4 linked regions of the Drosophila melanogaster genome follow. The protein of the gene in region 2 interacts with the protein of the main gene of each other region in a pairwise test. Each region holds a gene or a part of one and is shown on either strand. Other genes may lie near its edges.

Region 1 (8,372 bases), on a different chromosome or scaffold from region 2:
GTTTCAATTCAAAGCGCACTGTTTGTTTAATCACTTACCTAGTGTATAATTTAGTTAGAATTAAGCGCCACAACATACCCCAACGTAAGAAGATCTGCAAGTGAAGAAAGGAAATTAGTTATGATTTAACCACGATTAAAATGCTAAACACAGTGAAATATAGCTATAAGCTCAGTTACTAAATTACAATCAAATCATTTCATTAGTCTAACATATGTAAAATAACATCATAGAGCTTATTTAAATTGAAGTGGTTTAAATATATATTACGTACCTTGAAAGTGTTCCTAATGTAATGGTCTAATGGTCATTGGAATTTTCCGATTAAACTGCAAAGAAAGCATCAATTTACTAATCGATCCAGTAATTATCATAAATAAGTATTGAAATTTTTAATTTTAAAAACATTCTCAGTTACTAATTTACAATCAAATCATTTCATTAGTCTAACATATGTAAAATAACATCATTGTTTAACTCAACGAAAATGTGGCTTAATCGTTACAATTTCTTACCTTTAAAACGTTTTAGGTGCAGCGTTTGTTGGTTTTGCCCACGAAAACTGCAATAGAAAGAGAAATACAAAATTAATAACATTTCTTTGCTTTTCAATCAATAAACGCTTGAATTTGTTATCAGAAAAACATAACTTTACACTAATCAAGGCATTTCATAGGTGTCCCAAGGTAAAACTCGAAAATCATCATTGAAAACAACTATAAATAGAAACCAACTTACCTAGTTAAAAAAGAAAAGTTTCCATGATATTGAAGTGTTCCTTTGCTGGCATCTGCAAAATATAAACAATTGTTAGCTTTCTGTTCAATAATCATAAAAGACTAAATTCAGCAAAGTATTTATCAGATATTGACGTTTACGCTAATCAAGGCATTTCATAGGTGTCCCAAGGTAAAATAGCTATGTCATCACAAAAACCTATGTCCCATAGGCATATCGATTCCAACTCACCTTAGAAGGCGTATCGCGTGCGAATATCCTCCAGTTTCTTGCAGATCTGATTGGGAGTGCGGAACATGTCGCCAGCTATGCTCTTCTGCTTGGCTGCCTCAATGGACAGATACTGCTCGCAGAGATCGCCGTCGAGTACGTTTTTGACCGGATAATACGAGCTCCTGTAGCTGAGATGGTCGCGTCCACAGAGTGGAGGATTCTCATTGCGCATGTGCATCTCCAGATGTTGGAAGAAGTCGTAGTCCTCGCGACTGGTGAACGGAACAAATGCTCCAACAGTGCCACTTAGCGTGGCGTATATAAGGGCTTCCGATCCTCCAGGAATTAGCGTTGCCTTCTGCAGCGACATGATTATCTCGCCCACATGGAAGGAGCAAATGTTCTCCGACTTCTGTGAAGCACCTGACAGCAGGCCACGATCCCACAGAGACTTGGTGCCCGTTGGATCCTCGTCCACATCGTCCGTTACGGAGTGGGGCAATCGCTGAATGCTCAGGTTGCCAAACTTATCGGCTATGGCTATGGTATCATAGTCCAGCAAGGTGGTGGCCGTCACCCATCGAGGATGCGTGTCATCGGCAAATATAATCAGCTGGTTCTCCGCGCGACGATAGCGTATGAAAAATACTGATTCCTGAACATCCGACACGTAAACACGATGACCCATGGCTTGGATATTGACAATCTGATAGGGAATGTGCTTGTTCTCGCATTTGCGCAGCATTTTCTTCTTGCCGAAATCGTAGATTCGCAACATTCGACCGCAGCCAGCTAGTAGACGACCCTGGAAGCCACACAGGGCTCCAGGAATCTCGTCAATGTCCGTGCGGTGCATGAATTCCAGACTGGAGCAAGTGGGATCTATTTTGTAGATATCTATGCAGCCGCCTTGCGAAATCCTGGGATTCAGCTGCAGATCCTTGGCGATTCCCACGGCCAGGTAGTACCGGCCATCAGCCGCTATGGAGAACTTCAGCATGGCCATCGACATAATGGCCTCGTTTTGGGTGAGCGGCACACTAAACATCGTCTGACCATGCATTGCGTCCAGGCAACGGATTTGCGAGGCCCAAAGACCCAGTCCTGCTTTGGGCGACGAAAACACGTCCTCGGGAAGGACTTCGTTGATGAAAGCATTGGCCATTTCGCGGGCCAACTCCCTTTCCTCATCGCCAGCTGCACTGCGCATCTCCTCCGCCATTTGCTCCTTTCGGGCACTCTTCGTATCCTCTGTGTAGGCGTTGTGATCGGTTTCGGCAATTAGCATGCGTCCCGTATCCGGATGGATTACAAAGGTACGTGGAGTGTACTGCAAGGGGAACGCTACTTGATTGAAGACGGCTCCCAGTTTCTCCAGGGCCAAGATCCTCAAGGTGTTGGTGGATATAGCCACGATACCTTCGCTGCACTGCTCGCTCGAGAAGCCAGAAGCATACTCAAGGGTTTCATAAGACAGAGGCGTCAAATGGAATCGATTTTGGTGGTAGTACGACAGCCAGGTTCGACTGGACATGGCCAGCACCGCTTCGGATCCCTGCATCTTGATCCGGAAGAGCTTTACGGGTCGGGAACCCAAATATCTCGTTCGGGTGTCTGCCAAATCTCCGGAAACAGGATCGAGCACAGTTCTCAGCAGGACACCGTTGCTCAAGCCAATGTTTAGGTAAATGGTTCCCTTATTGTTGCCACTGCGCTGAGCGGGAGCATCGTCATCCAAACCTCCCTGAGTCGTGCTCTCCGTGTGACCCATTTCGACCAGGCAAAGGGATTCGGCTGGCGAAGGCAGGGCCTGCATGGAGCAGGGAGTGAGACAGTTGTTGGGATCCAGCGATAAGATGCGCACTGTATTATCCGCCAGGCCGACGGCCAAGAACCAGGATCTCTGCTCGCCCTCCGGAACAGTTCCCAAGGCCATGCACATAATCTCAGCAGGCATCTCGGAACGTTCCGTGTACTCGTTCAGCTCCCCAGTCTGCAAGCATAAAATGTATTCATTAGTTGTGAAGTTAAGTAAACGAGGATAAGGCTTTTGGTTGATTTTGAAGCTCAGCACTGCAGGACACATAGTGTCTCAACATGATTGTTCTTTTCGTGTTTTTGTCATCAGAGCAAGAAGTCAACAGTTGAGTGTAATATAGTAGTAGAATTGCTTACCGGATCCATTTCGAAGTAGACCAACTCCCTGCCCGACAAGGTGATGACCACCTGGCGCTGATTCACGGCGCACTTGGTAATGGACTTCTTGCCCGGAGCCTTCCACTCGTTCACACGCTTGTCGGATCGGATATGTCGAATGCCATCGGGGTAAACCTGAACCAGCGCATCATCGCCCAGGGCGGCACAACAGAGCGTGGGCGTGGTGCCCAGGAAACCGCTGTCCGTGACTTCCTCGACGGTTTCGCCAATGCTCAAAACCAGGGTGGCATTCACGAAGGACACGATGATATAGGCATCAAACTCGTCTAAAAAATAGGGGAGCAAAACAATACTTGGAACGTGAGTACTTCAGTTTGAATCGAGCAAGCGAAAAAGATCTGCGTATCACACAAGACATTGAATAATCAGTTTATCAAGTTGTAATCAATGGATAATTCAGCTGAAACACGGTTGATAAATATCGCATCATGTTCAATGTCCGACTGGCTTAAATATAGTTAGCTTTTGTTCTGTTTTCATTGGTATAGTAGCAGTGGTAGTTGTAGTATCTGTTTGACTTATGAGCTGCAGTAAATGTTGCCTTACCTATCGCTTCACAAAAGACAATTTAAAATTACACAAACGAGAGAAATTCTCTTTAATCGCTTGTCTTTTTCGATAGTTCACACATATTGCCGTCTGTGTTTAAGCGCCTGAAATAAGAGAGAACTGGTGGTTGATAACTTGTGGGACTTGTTTGGAATCGTGCGTAAAGCTAGGTGTAATCTATATCTCGATCTGTATCAATGCACCAGTTGAGTTATTAGCCACGTTTCAGTCTTAGTCTAATCTTAGCTTAGGAATCATGATTAATGCCCGCAGACACACTCACCATCAGCTCGTTTCTTCACAGTCCAAACCGCATTGGGATTACCAGGCAGTTCGGAAACGGCCATCTCGGACACCTCGAGGCCGTGGCGCAGCACCCGCAGAGTGGAACGCGGTCCTCGTCCGCAAAGAACGTACAGTTGCGGTGTGTCCTCGTTGGCCAGATCAGCCACCTGGGAGGTGATGATCGGTGCGAAAGAGGGCAGTTCATCCACAAGCACCAGGTTCTTTAGGGCACGTGGCGCAAAGAAGAAGGTTTCACCCTCCTCCAAAGGCATGGCCGAACTGAACTCCGGCTCGTCATCGTCGTCACCCAGATGAGCGATTTGATATAGATAGCTGAGGGTTACACAAATACCTCAATTAGTACCCATTCATATTATTCTCAAATGAATGATTTGTAGATACTCACTGGTTGCCAAACTCGCTGGCCACGAACAGGAAACCCGTCTTTAGCACGCACATGGCAGTTGCCGGCGGCACTGTATCGAAGTACTTTAGCTTGATCTCGGAGACCACATCATCGTCCGTTTCCAGGGTGATCTTAAAGATGTCTCCCTGCTCGGTCTGCAGCAGGAAGAAGTACATGCTCTTGGTGCGATGTGTGGCCGAGCAGATGAAGATCATACCACGTTCGGGATCATCCAGATCGTTTCTCCTGCGCGGAATGGGACAGCGGATATCGTGCTGATCGCCGAGATTCTTGTACGTTAGGTAGTTCTCCGAGCAGATCAGCACGCCCGAAGGACCATCGTTGCCCCCAGGCACGGATACCAAGAAATTGGCGTGCTCTTCCAAGGGCTCCGAGTATTTGCGAACCACGTGGTTTAAGCCGAGATCCAACTCGTAGAAAGTCAGCGTTTGCTGAGTGCGCTGGGCGGCGTCACCTGGAACAAATAGATGCGACACTGATTAGTTACAGGACTATAGCATTGTACTATCAAAATGTTATCAATTGAGATTAGGAAGTGTGGGTCACAAATCAGTGAAGTGTGGCTAGGCAATTACAGCAACACCAATGGTTCAGTGATCACGATTTATCTGGCACTAAGTACAGTCAGTGTTCGTGGTGTGGATCCACTAAACCTGTGAATTAAAGCGCCTTCTAGGGTCTACACGCCACCTAGTTGATGCTTACCCGATGGATCCATGTCGGCCTCTTCGTAGTCGATCTCTAGGCAGGCGAACATGGGATTATCGAAGCCCACATCCACGCCGACCATGTGGTATGTCAGTGTATTCGATTTGTGGGCCTCCAGGGGCGATGAGATCGTGAGGCGAGCCTGCGTGTCCCGGTTCATGATGTAGGCCAGCTTTTGCTTCTCCACGGCGCCAATCATCACGGCTCTTCCTTTAGGATCGATGGCAAAGTATTGCCCAGGCACAATCCTGCGACATCCCGACTTTCCGAACGTCTCCTGGTGCACTTTTTCAAGAGCATTCTTGGAGGGATTGTACTCGAGGATCACGATGCGTCCCGAGTCCGAGCCCACAACTATGTAATCTGCAAAGCAAGGTAACGATATTCGAGATTAGGGTCATACATTTAACACTTTCTAATGACTATAATGATATTTTATTGACTTTGTAACTCGAAGTTTCAATTCGCCACTCCGTTGAGTTGGTTTATGGCAAATGCGACGTCAAGTCTTTCGGTTTCTCTCGCACTTAGACGCGTTCAAAGGTCTTACTGGGGTCAACTAGCCGTCTGTTGCCTCAATAGGGATTTGTGCGACTTACATAGATTATATAGGAGCAATACATTACTCCCAATTGATGGTACAAAACTAAATTACAATTGAAAGACTCACCTTTAGTGCCGCCCGTCAGTCGAAAGGCCATCAGGGCGCGAACGCATCCGAATATCTCCGTGGAGAGCAGGGTGTGCACCTTGCCGGTGTTGGAGTCCGGACGCAGTAGCTCCAGCGACTTGCCACGCGACAGGAGGACCTCCTGCTGCTTGCCGCCGGAGAAGTTGCCGTGGACCGCGTGGGTCACGCCGGTGGCCTTCTGCAGGGTCAGGTTGTACAGATACATGGTGGAGCACTACACTCTTTCACTTTTGTCCACGACTGCAAGAGAAGCAATGTTGAGGTTAGGTACAGTTGCAGACAAGGGAAAAAGTCACGTGAATGGCGGTGTATTTTTTTTTTTGTGAATTTGTACTACTTTGAAAACCATGGCCACAGTATGGAAAGTCGTGTCGCCTAACGATGCTAGTAAGCAGCATTTAATTCTTAGTTTAGCACGCTTCAAATGCGACCAAAGCACAGACATTTCTGATTTCTGGAGATACTTCGTGCGGAAAGCGCTTAAATAATAGTAGATATCAGTGCTAGCACGTGTATTTGTTTACCTTCGGCTGGTTAAATGGATGAATTAGCACATTTCACCAGCGATGCCTTTGGATTCGAATTTTCCTGATTACTCAGAACTCTTCATTTTCACATCTGCTCTGTTCGCCGACAAAAAGTAAAAGAACTATAAAAGTAAAAATGGTGGTGCATAAAATGTGGCTTGACTTATCGATAGTGCGCGGCCGTCGATTTTCCTATCGATAATAGGCCCGGTTCAGACTGATTATAAATTAAATAATTATTTTACTGGAAATTGTTGCTGCAGAAATCATAAGTTTCCTAAAAATCCTGGTCAAGATATATCGAATTTATCCTTTATTAAATATACCACATTTAAATATTCGGAAATTGCCATGGGCCAATCCCAGTTCCACATACCAAAAACTGCCTCAAAAGCTAAACATATAATATGCAATTTTCTGTGAAAAAATGGAAAATTTCAAGGATCTGTAAAAATATGTACTGGATCAATCGTTTTATCTTTCTTTAACTTAAAAAATTTTTATCATGGGCTTAAATGAAAACAAAACCACTCACCGAATTGTGGCTAAAGGGCTGGGCTCAATACTATGCTATTAAGGTATGATTAAGGAGAAAACTTTAAAGGTATTTAAAAAAAATAAATAGATCAGTCCCCAACTATTTTTTTCTGTTTATTCGATCTCTACTTGAGTATATTTTTACGCGGCGTTGGCTCATGTTATTAGACTAATTAGAAAAATCATCAATTATTACTTAGTAAACTAGGTTTGTTGACTATCGATATACCAACTTCAGATTCGCGACATCTCTAATCAGTCATGGAATTGTCAGTGTTGTAAAACCTGAAATGTCATTGCATCTTTGCTTCTTCAAAACAGCTGACAGCTAAAAACAAATATTTCGTGATTTTTGTAAATATTGCTAACGTTTTAATATGGAGGAGCAAGAGGATCGAGAAAAGCTCTACGAAGAAGCCCACAAGAAAGTAAAACTGGGCGAGGAGCTGAAGAAAGCGCTGAAAGACTTCGAAGATTTGCCTGGTGTCAGCAAAGTACAGCGAAAAATTCAGCAAGAGCTCAAATTTCTAAATAAGGTTTGTTTGCCTATTTTTCATGATAAAAACATTGAGTAAAAGCATTTTCCTTCAAGGTGATTACTACAAGGTCCGTAAAGGAACACCACATAACCAGCAGTAACTTTGTTTACTACGATTTTCTCATTAAAACTCTGCGTTTGCAACAAGGAGTAGTCGACATCAATGCCGTATTCCGCCTGGAGTCTAGGGATAGTCCCCTGAGAGTCGACATCGTGGCCAACAATGGACTCAAGTGGGTGAAGGTGATAGCCAGGAACTCGAAGTCCGTCGAGGACGCGGCCAGGGGATGTGTCAGCATCGGAGCCCGAAGTGTCATCGACCAGGCGGAGGATTATCTGGAGGCCAGCGAACTTAGTTTCTGCATGTTCCAGAGGCCGAAGGTAATGCCTAATAGTATGCTACCCTAGACAGCATTCATCATCTGATATACTGCCTTTTAGATAGTATTCTACTTCTCCAACAAAATCGAGGACTCCCTGCATGAAGAGCTAATGGAAATGGGCGTACAAACTGCTTCCCTGGACTCACCAGACACCGACTTGGATATGTACGCCACGACGTCGAACGAACTGAATCTAGATGTGACCACATTGCTGGCCTACGTTAGTGCGCTCACCAACGGATCCGCCAATTGGGTCTACAAGGAACCTCTGCTCACCGAACAGGCGGAAAGGGAAAGAGCCTCGCCGCTAAAACCGCTCCTCGAGAAAATCCTAGAGGGAAAAACCTTGGTCTGCTGCCAGTTAGCCTACGATGCCTTCCAGAGTATTTTGGATATTGTAGGCGGCGAGGGCGAACGGAAGCGAGCCGAGGAACTGATGAAACGGGTCACCGTTTATCCGGATGTGGAAACAATACCCGAAGAATTCTCCCACATACGTTTCACTGCCAACGTAAACGAGCGAAGTCTGAAAATCTTTAGTTTCGGCATGGCCAGGCAA
Region 2 (4,893 bases):
ATACCCGCGCTTTTTAGCGCCTCCCTAACCTGTGGCTTTTCGTTGGAACCCCTGGTCTAAGCCGGTTAAAACTCACCGCTGAACCTGCTGGCCCACTGGCCAAACGAATGCTCGTCCTCCCGGCACCAAAAGCGGCTTCATGTAGCAGCACCCTGCGCAGAAAACAAACAAAAAACACTTTGTTTACAAAACATTGCAGCATTTGGATAACAGCACCGCAACGCCGTTCAAATGCGCACGCATGGCTTCGGACTGCCGCATATTCAGCTTCTTCCCCTGTTATCCCAACAACAACATTTGCGGTACACAAAAATCGATAGTGACGTCACTTGGGGTGGGGTGTATATATATGTGTGTGTGCGTGACAATTTCATTTTTATTCACTGACTTATTTATTTAATCGATTTGACATTATTTTGAGCATATAAGGATCGTGTGATTTACCAGAGACAACTAAAGCCTCGTTGGGGCCGCAGGTTACAAATCCCCAAGTCATTTCTGCAGCACTTATTTGTTATTTATATTAGAAAATGGGTTGCTGCTGATAACAGCTTTTGTTTTATCTGCGCGGTTAACACAGTTTTCCGATTATTAACTATATAGCGAATTATCCGATCCACAGGTAGCCTTGTTTATTCGTCTAATAATATATATAAAAGAATTTCCGAGGTACTCGGTGCTTAAGATTCAGAAATCCGACCGGTTCGGTTAGCAATTCGTAGCACAATAAAAAAATCTCTCAATCTGTAAAGTTCTCAATTTCTAACTCGCGAGTGCGCAGAACGACTTTAACCCCTATTGAGTGCCGGGGGTTGAGGCGACCACTTCAAAATATTCATCATGCTGCGACGACGTAGTGCTGCGGTAAGTGTCTTTATTGGTTTAAAAATCTAGGTTACATCTCAATTTTTTTTATTCTAATTTACTTAATGACTCATATCATTCAGAAAGATCGAAATTCTTAAAAATACACAATAAATGTAATAAGAAAATCGTCGACACTCATTAAATTTGGAAACCAGATGTATTGCCTAGTTTTTAGTCTTTGAAAACAGAAACTAGGATTTCAAATATTTTTTCCACATTCACACAAACAGTAGATATCGTCTAGGAATTTGAACAATTTTCGGATCTTAACGATACACTCAACATAAAAATTTTTAAGAATAAAACTATTTTACTGAATCAATAAGTATTTTATCGATAAATGTTAATTTGGCAGCTCAAATGGCTATATTAAGTGTCACATTGGTAGGGATTGTCATAAATCAAACCTTTTGCTTTGGTAAATCAAACTAATGAAATTATAAAGAACTTTTTATCTTATACTATAATCGAACTCTACTGCAAGGACATACATATATAATTAAAAGATCTTTGCTGGACAAAGTCTCGCATTTTGGCTTAAGTCTAATCAAAGGTCGTGAAAACAGTGGCTTGGAAAGAACCTTCCGACCTCAATGTCCCGAAGAGCTGCTGTCCGTAAAGTAGGGATGCTGCATCGCCGCCTCCGCGCTAATTCGCTGATTTGGCCGGCAGATGAGCAGCTTTTGCAGCAGGTCGCGTCCCTTGGAGTTTAGCCTAGGTACCAGCTGACTCCACGAGGTGATGGCCGGAAAAGCTATAATATAAATAGGCTTTTAATATTGGTATCGATAAATAAAATCCGTCTAGAATCCCTACATGGAAGCGCCACGTAGTCGGAGAGGTGCGAAACTCCTGGCCAGGAGTCCTCGTTGGGGGTGCCCAGCACACGGAAGATCTTCATCAGCTGATCGAGCACGTCAGAGCCAGGAAACAGCGGTCGTCCAGCGTCCGCCAGTTCGGCCAAAATGCATCCAGCGGACCACATGTCTATGCTGGTCGTATAGAGCTTGGCTCCAAATAGGACATCGGGTGGTCGGTACCACAGGGTCACCACTTCTGCGGAGTAGCACTTCACGGGAATGCCAAAGGCTCTAGCGAGACCAAAGTCAGCTAGCTTTAGCTCGCCGTTTTTGTTGATCAGCAGGTTCTGTGGTTTCAGATCGCGATGCAGGACATTATGGCTAAAATAGGATAATGTAGCGTAAGTTAAGTCTCAATGCTATAAAATGGATATCATTCGGAAATGTGCCACAGATGAAGTTACTCCAAATAACACTTGATTCTAACTATAATCGACACAAGATAAGACCTAATCCAGTGCTGATACATATATAGGTATACCTGTGGCAGAATGCCAGTCCGCGGAGCAGTTGGAGCATAAAGCTCCTGCAGACGGCCATGTCGATCTCCCCGTTGAGGCTGTCAAAGTACTTCTTGAGGTCCTGGTCGCAGTGCTCGAAGACCAGGGTGAGTTTCTTGTCCGAGTGCAGGACGTCTATGAGGCGCACAATGTTCTTGTGCTTCAGCTCCTACGGATGGTAATGTGCCGATTTAGTTTATAAACTGGAATCACTTCCTGCTCGTCCGACTGACCTTCAGCAGGCAGATCTCCCGGAGGGCAGAACTGGGCACACCCTCGTCGTCCTCGTCCAGTCGCACCCGTTTCAGGGCCACTATTTCCATGGTGTCGCGGTTGCGACCCTTGAACACCGTGCCGTAGGTGCCCTCCCCGATCTTCTCCATTTTATCGTACTTCTGCATTTTGCTGTGTTTTGGTGTGTATTATTTTGCGTTCAGATGGAAAACTCCGGGGATTATTGTTTTTGCAGTTTGTTTTTGCTGGCCAGGGATTCGTGCGCCTAACAGCACACTGTTATTCGCTTACAGCACGCGGTGACTAACCAACATCGCAGCTGACAGTCTGCTGTCACCAAAAATACTCAAAATTAACAGATATCATTTTAAAAATGTTGATAAAACTTTTGTTATAATTTTATTGTTTTATTTGGACTCGATATTAGCTAAACATACGAATATAGACCGACAATGATAAACACCGATCTTATGGTACCGCAATGCAACAATATAGCAGAAATATAAGTATACAAGTTTCCTAATTTCTTTTGCCCTTTGCAGAATACCAAGCCTGGCTTACTATGTCTGCCCGATGATGTTCTAATGATAATTCTAAGTTATCTCGACTTGAAGACCCAACTAAAACTGAAAGACTTTCATTTCCGGTTTAAGAAATTAATGCCGTATGTGTGGCGTGCTTATAACAAATGTGCATATATATCCTTGATTGAAATGCAGCTGAGCGACAAGGATTTGCTATTCTTCCTGGAAAGTACTCAACAAATCCTCAGCACTCTGCGGCTCAAAATGAATAATAGATCTAACTTCGAAACACTTACCAGCTGTAGTTTTCCAAAACTTAAAGATTTTCGATTTTCCACGCATTCGTTTAACTTAAACGATGCGGACGTGCCAAGAATGTTGAAAACTTTTCCAAATCTGACAACTTTTAGCCCCCATGGAAAGTTTACTGGCAAACACTTTGATGAATTCGAGTTTCTCGAGAACCTCACGGTCTCCTACTGCAGCAAATTCAATGTCACCAACTTGATACAGATCCTGAAAACCAGAAAAATAAAATCCCTGAAGCTGGGTATCTTCGATATTGACCAGATTTCGAACACAGAACTGCCCTGGAAAGGGATTAGAAACCTAGAGCAGCTGCAGTGCTTCCAGGAGGAAATGATGGTGTGGTTCCTATCGAAACTGGAACGTCTAACTCACTTGAAGAAGCTATTTCTTTGTGGTCACGTTAGATACGGATTTCTGAGAGAGATTCTCATAGCTGCGAAGAGAAGCACTATAAATATGATCGAGATAAGCCAAAATACATCCATATTTTGTGAAACTTACGGTTTAAATGTGGCTATTAAGACCCTAAAGGTGGCTAATTTTGGTATGCATGCGTATCAGCATCTTCACATTAATGTCAATGAATTTTATATACAAAATTCGGTTTGTGTGGACGAAATTAAGTTTCATACCTTAATACAAAACCTAAACACACACGAGGTCCTGGGTATATACCATTGCACCTTCGGATTTAAGGAGTTCACATTCGATGCGAAGAAACTGGGAGAAAACCGTACCACAGCACTTAATATTTATGTGGAACTAAACACGTATCTCATGTCTAATGAGGTCTAAGTATTTCACAACTTATATTAGCTTTCGTTTCTAATATTTTTCATTACAGGATCCCATCCCCATGACCTGGAAAGTGCAAGGGGAACATAGGCTTTTCAAGTTGCACATGAAGCATCCAAAAATCACTTTTAACTCGGATCCAGTTTCAATTTACTTTGATTGAGTTTGATTGCCAAGGAACGAAGCTGTAGACTGATGACTAGTTTGATATGCCAGCTGAGATAGATAACTTTAAATGGCCGAGCCAAATAATTAGTTGTACGTTTTCCCTGGTTATGGAAAAGATTCAACCTTACCGGCGGATTTCAATGAGAAGTTTCCAGGAGTTCTTCAATGCAAGCTCCTCTAGAAGCTGCCAAGGATTGACAGTACTATTAGTTACAAAATAAAGGCTTAGTTTTATTGAGACTGTGTGTCAACTTAATTCAGGAGTACAACTCAAATTCAGTGCGCTCAGCATCCGTCATCGGTTCGACGACTTGAAGGCAGGCATTAGCGAACTCCACGAAGAGTGGCTCCTGCATGGCGGCCATCATGGCCGACTGGGCATTGATGGCCACATCAATCTGCTGGAGCAGCGAACGCAGGTGTGGATTGTGGAGCAAATTACGCAGTTCCTGGCAGTTTTCTGTACGGAAACCATCATACTATGAGAAATGTGTATAATTGCGAATTTAAACACCTACCTAGTTGCTGGAGCTTCTCCGCGGCAACTGTGTCGTCGGTGGGGAAGGGCACATGAAGCGTAGGTTCCTCCTGGTAGCCAACTTCAGTCTTTTTCAAGTCGGACTCCCTTGTCGCACA
Region 3 (4,078 bases), on a different chromosome or scaffold from region 2:
TCTCAGTTTATCAGTTCGTTTTTTCTCTGTGTGAATTCCATCCTCCTGCAGACTGATTTTTGATCTTAAAAATTATACCAAAACAGTGGATGAAGTCTGCATGATAGTACTACTTAGGAAAAGAAACTATACTTTGTCGTCAGTCCAGAGATAAGCATACAATTTGATCTTTAAACTATGCTCAAATCAATAAATAAAGCGATTAGGTTTAGCAGTAGGAGTTAAGCAGTTAAGGAATACGTTATTAATTATAATTGGAAAGTATTAGTTTGATTGTAAATTATAATTACTGCACACGCAGAATTGTTGCATTAGAGTGATTACATATCAAACGCTCGCACTCATATAATTTTAAATTATTATACCCAAAACTCATCAACTACATTCATTCCAAAGCATACAAAAATAAAGAAAAAGAAACCAAAGCTAAACAAAAGCTAAAATGTGTTTAACAATGGGAGTCCCTATTTAAGTTTACCAATTAAATACCATGGCAAATTAAATCGTTTCCTGAAGAAAATGGTTATATTCATAAACTGAATAATGAAACAAGCTATCATATTTACAAAATTGTTATGTTGGTATTTATTTAGGAGACCAACATCGTTTTCAACTTCTCAACTATATGCGTCAGCACCTCCGCTGTCGTGGAATCCGGAAGCTCATCCAAGACGGACGTAGTGGTGCCCGCCAAAATGCCAACACGGGGATCTATGGGCAGAGTTCCTAGATGTGGTACTTGGGCGTAAGTGGCCAGTGAGACGCCACCGTTTGACGAGAATATATTGGTGCACGAGGTGCAATGGGGGCACACGAACCTGTGACAATCAAATATAAGATAATTTAGTCAAACATGAGATAATTATCACCTGGTTAAAGTCCACAGGTGTCGCCCTGCCGTAAACTTGACACGCAAAGGCGTCCAATTAATATCTATGTATATTTGCATTTTCAATTAGTCAGCATCAAATACAGTAGAAATGCTTATCAGAAGCTTGTAAAACTCTTTTCAGTCAGGGATGGATATCGTTCTCGTTGCATTGCATTGGAGTTCCAATTTTTTGAGGACAAATTAAAATGAATCCTATTTTGTTGTCTGTCTTGCGGCTTAACAAACTCAAATAACTTACCCACTCATATTCTCGACGATGCCCAGGATATTGATGCCGGTCTTCTTGCAGAAGGTGATCTCCTTGCGTACATCGTCCAGGGCCACCTCCTGCGGTGTGGTCACAATTATGGCTCCGTGGCAACCAACCTCCTTCAGGCACTCCATTACGGTGATGTGCTCATCCGAAGTGCCGGGTGGCGTATCGATAATTAGGTAATCCAGCTCATCCCACCTGACGTCGGTGAGGAACTGCCGGATCATCATGGTCTTTTTGGGACCACGCCAAATGACCGGATCCTCACGGTTCTTCAATAAAAATCCAATGGACATCACCGCCAAGGTTTGGGATTCATCTGTATAGACAGGAACCCATCCATCGTCGCACTGGAAGATATCCCGTCCTTCCAGACCCAATAGATATGGCACACTCGGTCCACACAGATCTATATCGAGCAGACCAACCTAATAGATTGTTCATATGAGTACCATTCAAAATTCATCGGTAATGTTTTTGTGGTGAAATGGTTTGGCTTACCTTAAATCCGTTTTTTCGCAGTGCCAGCGATAATTGGGTGCTCACTGTGGATTTTCCTACTCCGCCCTTGCCTGATAGCACTACGATAACATTTTTAACCTTGTCCAGCATTATAAAGCGATTTAAAAGCAATTTATTCCGAAACCAATGCAAAGTCGTGGATTGCGTTTTAGTCAACAAGTGCAATCAGCTGTTCAGGGCTACAGTCATAGCATTAGGGGTGTTCCAGGATTCCACTATGTTGAAATATCCAATCTGAATAATGTTATGCGTGACCTCATTATTATTTGACTGTTTGTAAACAAAAAATCATTTTATCCTCGGGAATGCCATAAATGCTGCCTAGAAAGTTATTATATAGAAAAAATAAGGTAAAGAACTAAGTTATATAACTAACGCTATATAACTCTAAAATAGTGACAATATAATCTTGTTATAAAGTAGGGTGATGACTGCTTTTCGAATACGATCTGAAAATATACAAAATATTTGTCATCATAAGATACCTGGATCACCCCCAACGTTCCGCTATTCATCTGGCAACGCCCCTGTTATCAAGTCACACATTTCAACCCTCCGGCAACACCACCGCCGGCAAGTGTCGATTTTTATTGGTCCAAGCCGCGCGCAGCATGTTAATTGACAACAACGGACGGTAGCTGGCAAATGATAAAATAAACGTGCGCCGATCGAACGCGAGTCGAGGATCCAGGAGCCGTGCCCACGCCATAGCAATCGAGGTCACTCGAGCCGGGAGCCATAGAAACCGCTGCGAGGAGAGCCGAGTGGCAAGTCTTGGTGGAATCGAATCGAATGTTGCGCAACCTTCAGTCCCCGCATGTACTTAGCCACCAAACCGATTCCGAGCCACCAACCACCTAACAACAACCACATCACGCCACCCGCCTACATTTGATAATCGAATTTGTAGTTAGGCGATGAAGAAGCGCACTAATTCACGTGGCACCCCGACCTCGTCGGGCGACGCGCTACTGGACACCTCCTTCTCCTCCGCCGGCGATGCTGAGCGGGATCATCCCGCCTACAAATCAGGCGCGGCCAGTGCCCCTGCCACGCCCACCAAGCGACGGGATGGCAGCGATGGCAGTGTCAGCAGCGCGGGAGCACGCAGGAAGCGCAAGGACGAGATCGCCCAGACATTTGTGATCGTCAACGAACGTCCCGTGGACGACATATCGCTGGACTTCTTCTACAAGCCACACACCATCACCTTGCTGGCTGTTTCGGTGCTCGCCGTCATGTACTTTGCGTTCGTCAGGTGAGTAGATGAGCCCATGAGCCCGCAGGGGAACCCCTTCGTGATAACCAATGAAGGTTATTCGATCCTTAATACAACGCAACTTCATTGCGAGCTCGCAATCGGTTCACTTGTATTCATTTCGATCTTAGAACTTTGCCTTTGTCAGCTGAGATAGCATTGAAAAATCGTTGAGTTTTGCTTGTTAACCCATTGGGTGTTTATGCGGGTTTGGTGCGCTCGTTAGCTTCATCTTATTATATTATATTATATTATATTGGGTATTCCTTGAACCGACAGAATCTTTAGATAAGAAAGAGTTTGTAAATCCATTTCTGTCAGTACTGATTACTATGAGAGGCACGTTTAGAACTATAGTACTGGTCTTAACCCTTATCAGTATTACATAACTGTTCTGTAGTAAATCCCCTTAGTAACAATAGTTTATTTGCATTGGCTGGTAGCGAGATAGAACCAATTATTCAATGTATCAGCATCTTCAAAAGGTTTCATTTGTTATAATTATTTATAAATTTTTTATAATTATAATTGACGTTTCATCAAAAATGATTGGATTTCACTACCCTGTTAAGTCCCTTATCGCCAAAAAACTTTCGATGAAATCATACTTTTTAATCATATATCTGCACCATGTGCCTTCTTAGTTCACACATCAATTGATGTACACGGGTTAAGCACTTAAAAATATCACGAATACTCTGCCAAAAGTGTCAACTCAGACAGCCGAAGGTTTAAAAAAGCCAAAAAAAAAAAATAAAAAAAATTATATATATATGCGCTAGTCTAGCGAACAGTATATAAAAGTAGAATCGCCTAAGGCACATACGTAATGTACTCGACGTTCACTTCATCGTGCCATTGACCCCCAAACCCCATCGAAAAACGTGCTATGCTGATAAGGAATACTATGACTGAAATAGTAGCGCTAATGGAAGCCAAGATCATCCATTTAGCAATGCGCTTTCGTTACAGAAACGAGGCGAACGTGGATGAGAATCTCTGGGCCGGCCTCCTCTGCATTGTGTTCTTCTTTCTGATCGTCTCGGTGATTGCATTTCCCAATGGACCCTTCACACGACCCCATCCCGCCGTCTGGCGGATATTATTCGGATGCTCTGTGCTGTACCTGCTGACGCTACAATTCCTGATGTTC
Region 4 (3,854 bases), on a different chromosome or scaffold from region 2:
TGACTTTGTGACCTCTTTCGATCGAAGAAACTCTGCGATTCTGTGGATGTGCGAGCGGGTAGATCTGTCCAATCGCGTCGTCTACGGGGATTCCACATCCGTGGCTCCAGCTGGAGCATTTGGACAGTCGGAGGCAGCCAGGGTATTTTTCCTGTCCAACATTAGGCCCTTTCTAAACAGAGGGTTCAATCTCACTGTCTGGGATCGACTGCTGCAGTACGTCCATGAGATGAGTCAACGACATGGAACCGTGTATGCCTACACCGGATCAATTTACTTGCCCCGGGAGCTAAAGTCGAACAGTTGGTTCCTGGAGTTCCAGTCGGAGGAGAGAACCATGGTGGCCGTACCCACCCATTTCTTCAAGATCCTGGTCATTGATAAGAAGTTCGCGGGCGATACCATTCCCTATGCGGAGGCCTATGTGATGCCCAACTCTCCGCTGAACAACAATGTCGAACTGAAGACGCTTCTCAGCGATGTCCGGGAAATAGAAAACGCTACTGGTCTACGGTTCTTTGAAGGACTCGACCGCAACTTTGTCAACACCCAAGCATCAAATTCATTTGTCCCCTCAGTAAACGGTCCTTTAACAAATCCGTTAACGTTGCCGATGACTAATGCCTTAGACAGTCACAGTGCCCTCACATCAAGTATTTCTCCAAAATAGAATATAAATACATATATGTTGAAGGAGACAATGATGGCCATGAGAAATCCTTCAGATAAACAATGTTTTATTTGCTTTTGAGGGGTAATTCACAGAGCCCATTTCATGGACCGAAAATGGCAGCTCCTGGGACTGGGTTTCGTCCTGGGAGTGACTGCGCTCTGTGCATCCTTCGTGGGTGGAATGTATTTTCAGCACACAGATGCCAGAAAACGCCTGCGGGAACTAATACAAACGGATCCCTATGCCTACTATCTCAGTCCCAAAATTTATGAAGTGGTAACCAATACTGTAGTAAAAGAATATAAGTAACACTTGCACCAAAATAATTTCCCTAACCAGTTTACTTTCTTTGAGAGCAATAATGAAGACGATCACCGGATGAGGCAGATCATGAAGTTTGGGTTCCCTGGCCTGGATGACTTGCGTCTGTATAGTGACTTCGTACTATCCTACGATCGCCGAAACCGAGTGGCCCACTGGGTGTGCGAGCACCTCCAGGCGGACAGCATACATCCGAATCGAGGCAGACGTGGTCGCAACCCATACCAGCCGGATTTGAGTGTTCCCTCCAACTTCCGATCGGAACTGAGCGACTATCGGAGATCTGGATTCGACCGAGGACACTTGGCAGCCGCAGGAAATCACCATCTGCAACAGAATCACTGCGAGGATACGTTTTTCCTAACGAATATTGCCCCACAAGTGGGCCAGGGCTTCAACCGAAGCGCGTGGAACAACTTGGAACAATATGTTCGAAATCTGGTCCACCGATTTGGATCCGTTTTCGTGTGTACTGGTCCACTATATAAGCCCAATCAAAGACCGGGAGGTAAGTGGGCCGTGGAGTACGAGATGATCGGACTGAATATGGTTGCAGTTCCGACGCACTTCTTCAAGGTGATCATGGTGGAATCAAAACTGCACCTGGGTAAACCCTATATGGAGGGCTATGTCCTGCCCAATGCTCCAATACCAGATGGTCTGCCACTACGATCGTTTCTCTGCGACATCCGGGAGATTGAGCACTACGCAGGTCTCAAGTTCTTCGATGGTTTGAGAAGGAGTGCCCTATTCGGCAGCAATTATCCAAGTGAATCTCGAGTTTTTCGCGAATTCAGTTAGTGGAGGGATCCCAATCGTTAAATATATATTTAACTTAACTGCAAGCAGGCTATCTTCTTCCGACTGACATATCGACAAATTGTTACATTACACACTTCATCAAAGAAACACTACACGAAATTATTGTAAGGCCCACTTATGTCCTTTAGCGAATCAAATGTTCATCAGTGGGCTTTATGTGCCCTTGCGGGAGTAACCGGGTTTGTGTGTGGAGCCTTTGTCCAACAAGAGGCGTCCATAAGGCAGCTGCTCCAGCAGATTCGAAGGGATCCCTATGTCTACCATCATCGTCACAAGTTATATCCGATGGTGAGCGATATGAAAAAGTTAGAAATGTTTGTAAGATTTTAATTCTAATATTTTCCCACAAGTTATCCACCTTTGGGACAGACCATGAGGCCCGTTTGTGGAATCGTCCTACTTCATGGGCCGACAAATTCAGGGAGCTGGTATTATCACCGATCCTCGATTTAGTTAGTGCTACTGTGACGCTGAAATGGGATTCGGCAACCACAACTGATCTGCTCGACCTAGTCAAGTATGGACTGCCCAGCACGGAGAACTTGTACGTCCATAAGGACTACGTGGTTTCGCAGGACCTGCGCACGAACGGCGTCAGATGGATTTGTGAGCATTTCCGTGGGGATTATCAAAGGGTATCGTCGGATGGAGGCGGATATAGCACCATGAATCTTCGCTACAATGATGTGTATGTGCTGAGCTGCGGTTCGATGAGCATATGCAAGGCGTTCAAGCGGAAAATCTGGAACGATCTGGAGAACTACGTGTCCAGCATGGCCAAGGAGTTTGGCTCAGTGTACGCCTACACTGGGCCGATATACACCCCAACATGTTACGAGATTGGCAAATGGACCATGAAGTATGAGGTGTTTGACTGGATTCCGATACCAGTGCCATCCCATTTCTTTAAGGTATTAATCGTGGAGAGTGGAGTTCCGGGATCCCAACCCTTCATGGAAGCATTTATCATCGAAAACAGCCGAAGGGTTGGCGGCAAGTTGAATGACCACCGCGTCAAAGTAGGCGAAATAGAGCGTTACACAGGACTGCGATTTAACAAGATCATGCAACCCGTAGTCCAATTCGGGAAGGACTCATTTACGGTGGACACCAGGGCTTGGGCCGGCAGGTTGGAGGAAATTTCTGAGCCTTTGGTAACATTTCCTCCCGACCAGAAATTAAATTTAATATAAACCCCTGAATGTAAGGAATATTTTGATAAAATTGTGAAAATATACATATTTATTTTAAATGTACTTTGATTATATCTTATTCACTTATTTATTTTAACCCAACGTATTTAATGACGTCACTGCATTCTATTGCACCACCTTACACATAACATAACTCGCAGCTGTTCGCTAACAGCAGCGCTGTTAAGTTCAACACGATTATCGATTCGGCGATGGCAGCCGAAAGAGCACAATCGATTGACATTCGATTTTCCACTGCCGATTACCGATAGCTTACGTGGCAAGGCAAAAAGAGCAAAAAAGATCGAATTAGGGAACTGACGTGGAAGTTCGTTTAGCTCGAAATTATTCTTGTTTTTCAACCAGCGATCGTCCGCCGCGGCCGTCGAGAGTTGAGGCCAACACCGAGTGGCCAAAATCGAGGAGTCAGTGGTCAGGAATCAGGCCGAGCAGCCCCCGAAATTGCTAAATCGCCGTGGCGAACTTTGAGCCAATCCGTGTGTGTTTTCTCTTCGTTTTCCGTGAAAGTTGTTTGTTGGCTTAGCGTCGACCCTCTCCGCTAAAACCCAGGTGATTAATCCGGGCCAGAAATGAATCCGAATATGTACGGGCCACCGCCCACGCAGTTCCAGCAGCAACCCCAGTTTGGGGCTCCTCCTCCGAATTCCGGAGGTTGGCCACCGCAGCAACAACAACTACCGCAGCAGCAGCCGCCGCAGCAACAACTGCCTCCGCAGCAGCAGCAACAACAACCACAGTACGGAGCACCACCACCAACGTCGGCGGCATCCCAGCCTTACCTCAATGGCAACTACCAGCAGCAGGTGAATAGATAGCCTTAACCA

The links.
Region 1: the proteins of Cdk5 (region 2) and Sf3b3 interact in a two-hybrid assay, tested with the Drosophila melanogaster proteins (one large-scale study listed by BioGRID).
Region 3: the proteins of Cdk5 (region 2) and Nubp2 interact in a two-hybrid assay, tested with the Drosophila melanogaster proteins (one large-scale study listed by BioGRID).
Region 4: the proteins of Cdk5 (region 2) and Tengl3 interact in a two-hybrid assay, tested with the Drosophila melanogaster proteins (one large-scale study listed by BioGRID).

Annotation. Positions count from the first base shown.
Region 1 is NT_037436.4:826,908-835,279, forward strand, and holds the start of Sf3b3 (splicing factor 3b subunit 3), read right to left. Parts: upstream 6,479-8,372; 5' UTR 6,353-6,478; intron 6,303-6,352; exon of another isoform or gene 6,155-6,302; intron 6,069-6,154; 5' UTR 6,034-6,068; coding exon 5,808-6,033; intron 5,733-5,807; exon of another isoform or gene 5,580-5,732; intron 5,501-5,579; coding exon 5,135-5,500; intron 5,102-5,134; exon of another isoform or gene 4,963-5,101; intron 4,884-4,962; coding exon 4,409-4,883; intron 4,336-4,408; coding exon 4,001-4,335; intron 3,822-4,000; coding exon of another isoform or gene 3,814-3,821; exon of another isoform or gene 3,715-3,813; intron 3,605-3,714; exon of another isoform or gene 3,530-3,604; intron 3,435-3,529; coding exon 3,127-3,434; intron 3,086-3,126; exon of another isoform or gene 2,945-3,085; coding exon 971-2,944; 3' UTR 970-970; intron 937-969; exon of another isoform or gene 857-936; intron 791-856; 3' UTR 739-790; intron 714-738; exon of another isoform or gene 630-713; intron 563-629; 3' UTR 516-562; intron 477-515; exon of another isoform or gene 405-476; intron 330-404; 3' UTR 275-329; and 5 more. Other genes in the region: CG42553 (uncharacterized protein), read left to right, coding at 7,270-7,428, 7,485-7,811, 7,872-8,372. UniProt on the Drosophila melanogaster protein: Involved in pre-mRNA splicing as a component of the splicing factor SF3B complex, a constituent of the spliceosome. SF3B complex is required for 'A' complex assembly formed by the stable binding of U2 snRNP to the branchpoint sequence (BPS) in pre-mRNA.
Region 2 is NT_033778.4:15,568,675-15,573,567, forward strand, and holds Cdk5 (Cyclin-dependent kinase 5), read right to left. Parts: upstream 2,744-4,893; 5' UTR 2,629-2,743; coding exon 2,461-2,628; intron 2,397-2,460; coding exon 2,209-2,396; intron 2,049-2,208; coding exon 1,684-2,048; intron 1,622-1,683; coding exon 1,458-1,621; 3' UTR 865-1,457; downstream 1-864. Other genes in the region: Flo1 (flotillin 1), read right to left, coding at 77-152, 445-496; CG30466 (uncharacterized protein), read left to right, coding at 841-864, 3,004-4,083, 4,139-4,252; CG8204 (uncharacterized protein), read right to left, coding at 4,515-4,717, 4,776-4,893. UniProt on the Drosophila melanogaster protein: Probably involved in the control of the cell cycle. Interacts with D1 and D3-type G1 cyclins. Possible regulator of neuronal differentiation and/or development.
Region 3 is NT_037436.4:20,524,333-20,528,410, reverse strand, and holds Nubp2 (NUBP iron-sulfur cluster assembly factor 2), read right to left. Parts: upstream 1,836-4,078; 5' UTR 1,758-1,835; coding exon 1,647-1,757; intron 1,574-1,646; coding exon 1,131-1,573; intron 819-1,130; coding exon 590-818; 3' UTR 501-589; downstream 1-500. Other genes in the region: Pss (phosphatidylserine synthase), read left to right, coding at 2,585-2,925, 3,898-4,078. UniProt on the Drosophila melanogaster protein: Component of the cytosolic iron-sulfur (Fe/S) protein assembly (CIA) machinery. Required for maturation of extramitochondrial Fe-S proteins.
Region 4 is NT_033779.5:2,236,287-2,240,140, reverse strand, and holds Tengl3 (testis EndoG-Like 3), read left to right. Parts: upstream 1-1,889; 5' UTR 1,890-1,933; coding exon 1,934-2,104; intron 2,105-2,166; coding exon 2,167-3,009; 3' UTR 3,010-3,065; downstream 3,066-3,854. Other genes in the region: Tengl1 (testis EndoG-Like 1), read left to right, coding at 1-670; Tengl2 (testis EndoG-Like 2), read left to right, coding at 776-949, 1,013-1,795; Sec24CD (secretory 24CD), read left to right, coding at 3,600-3,833.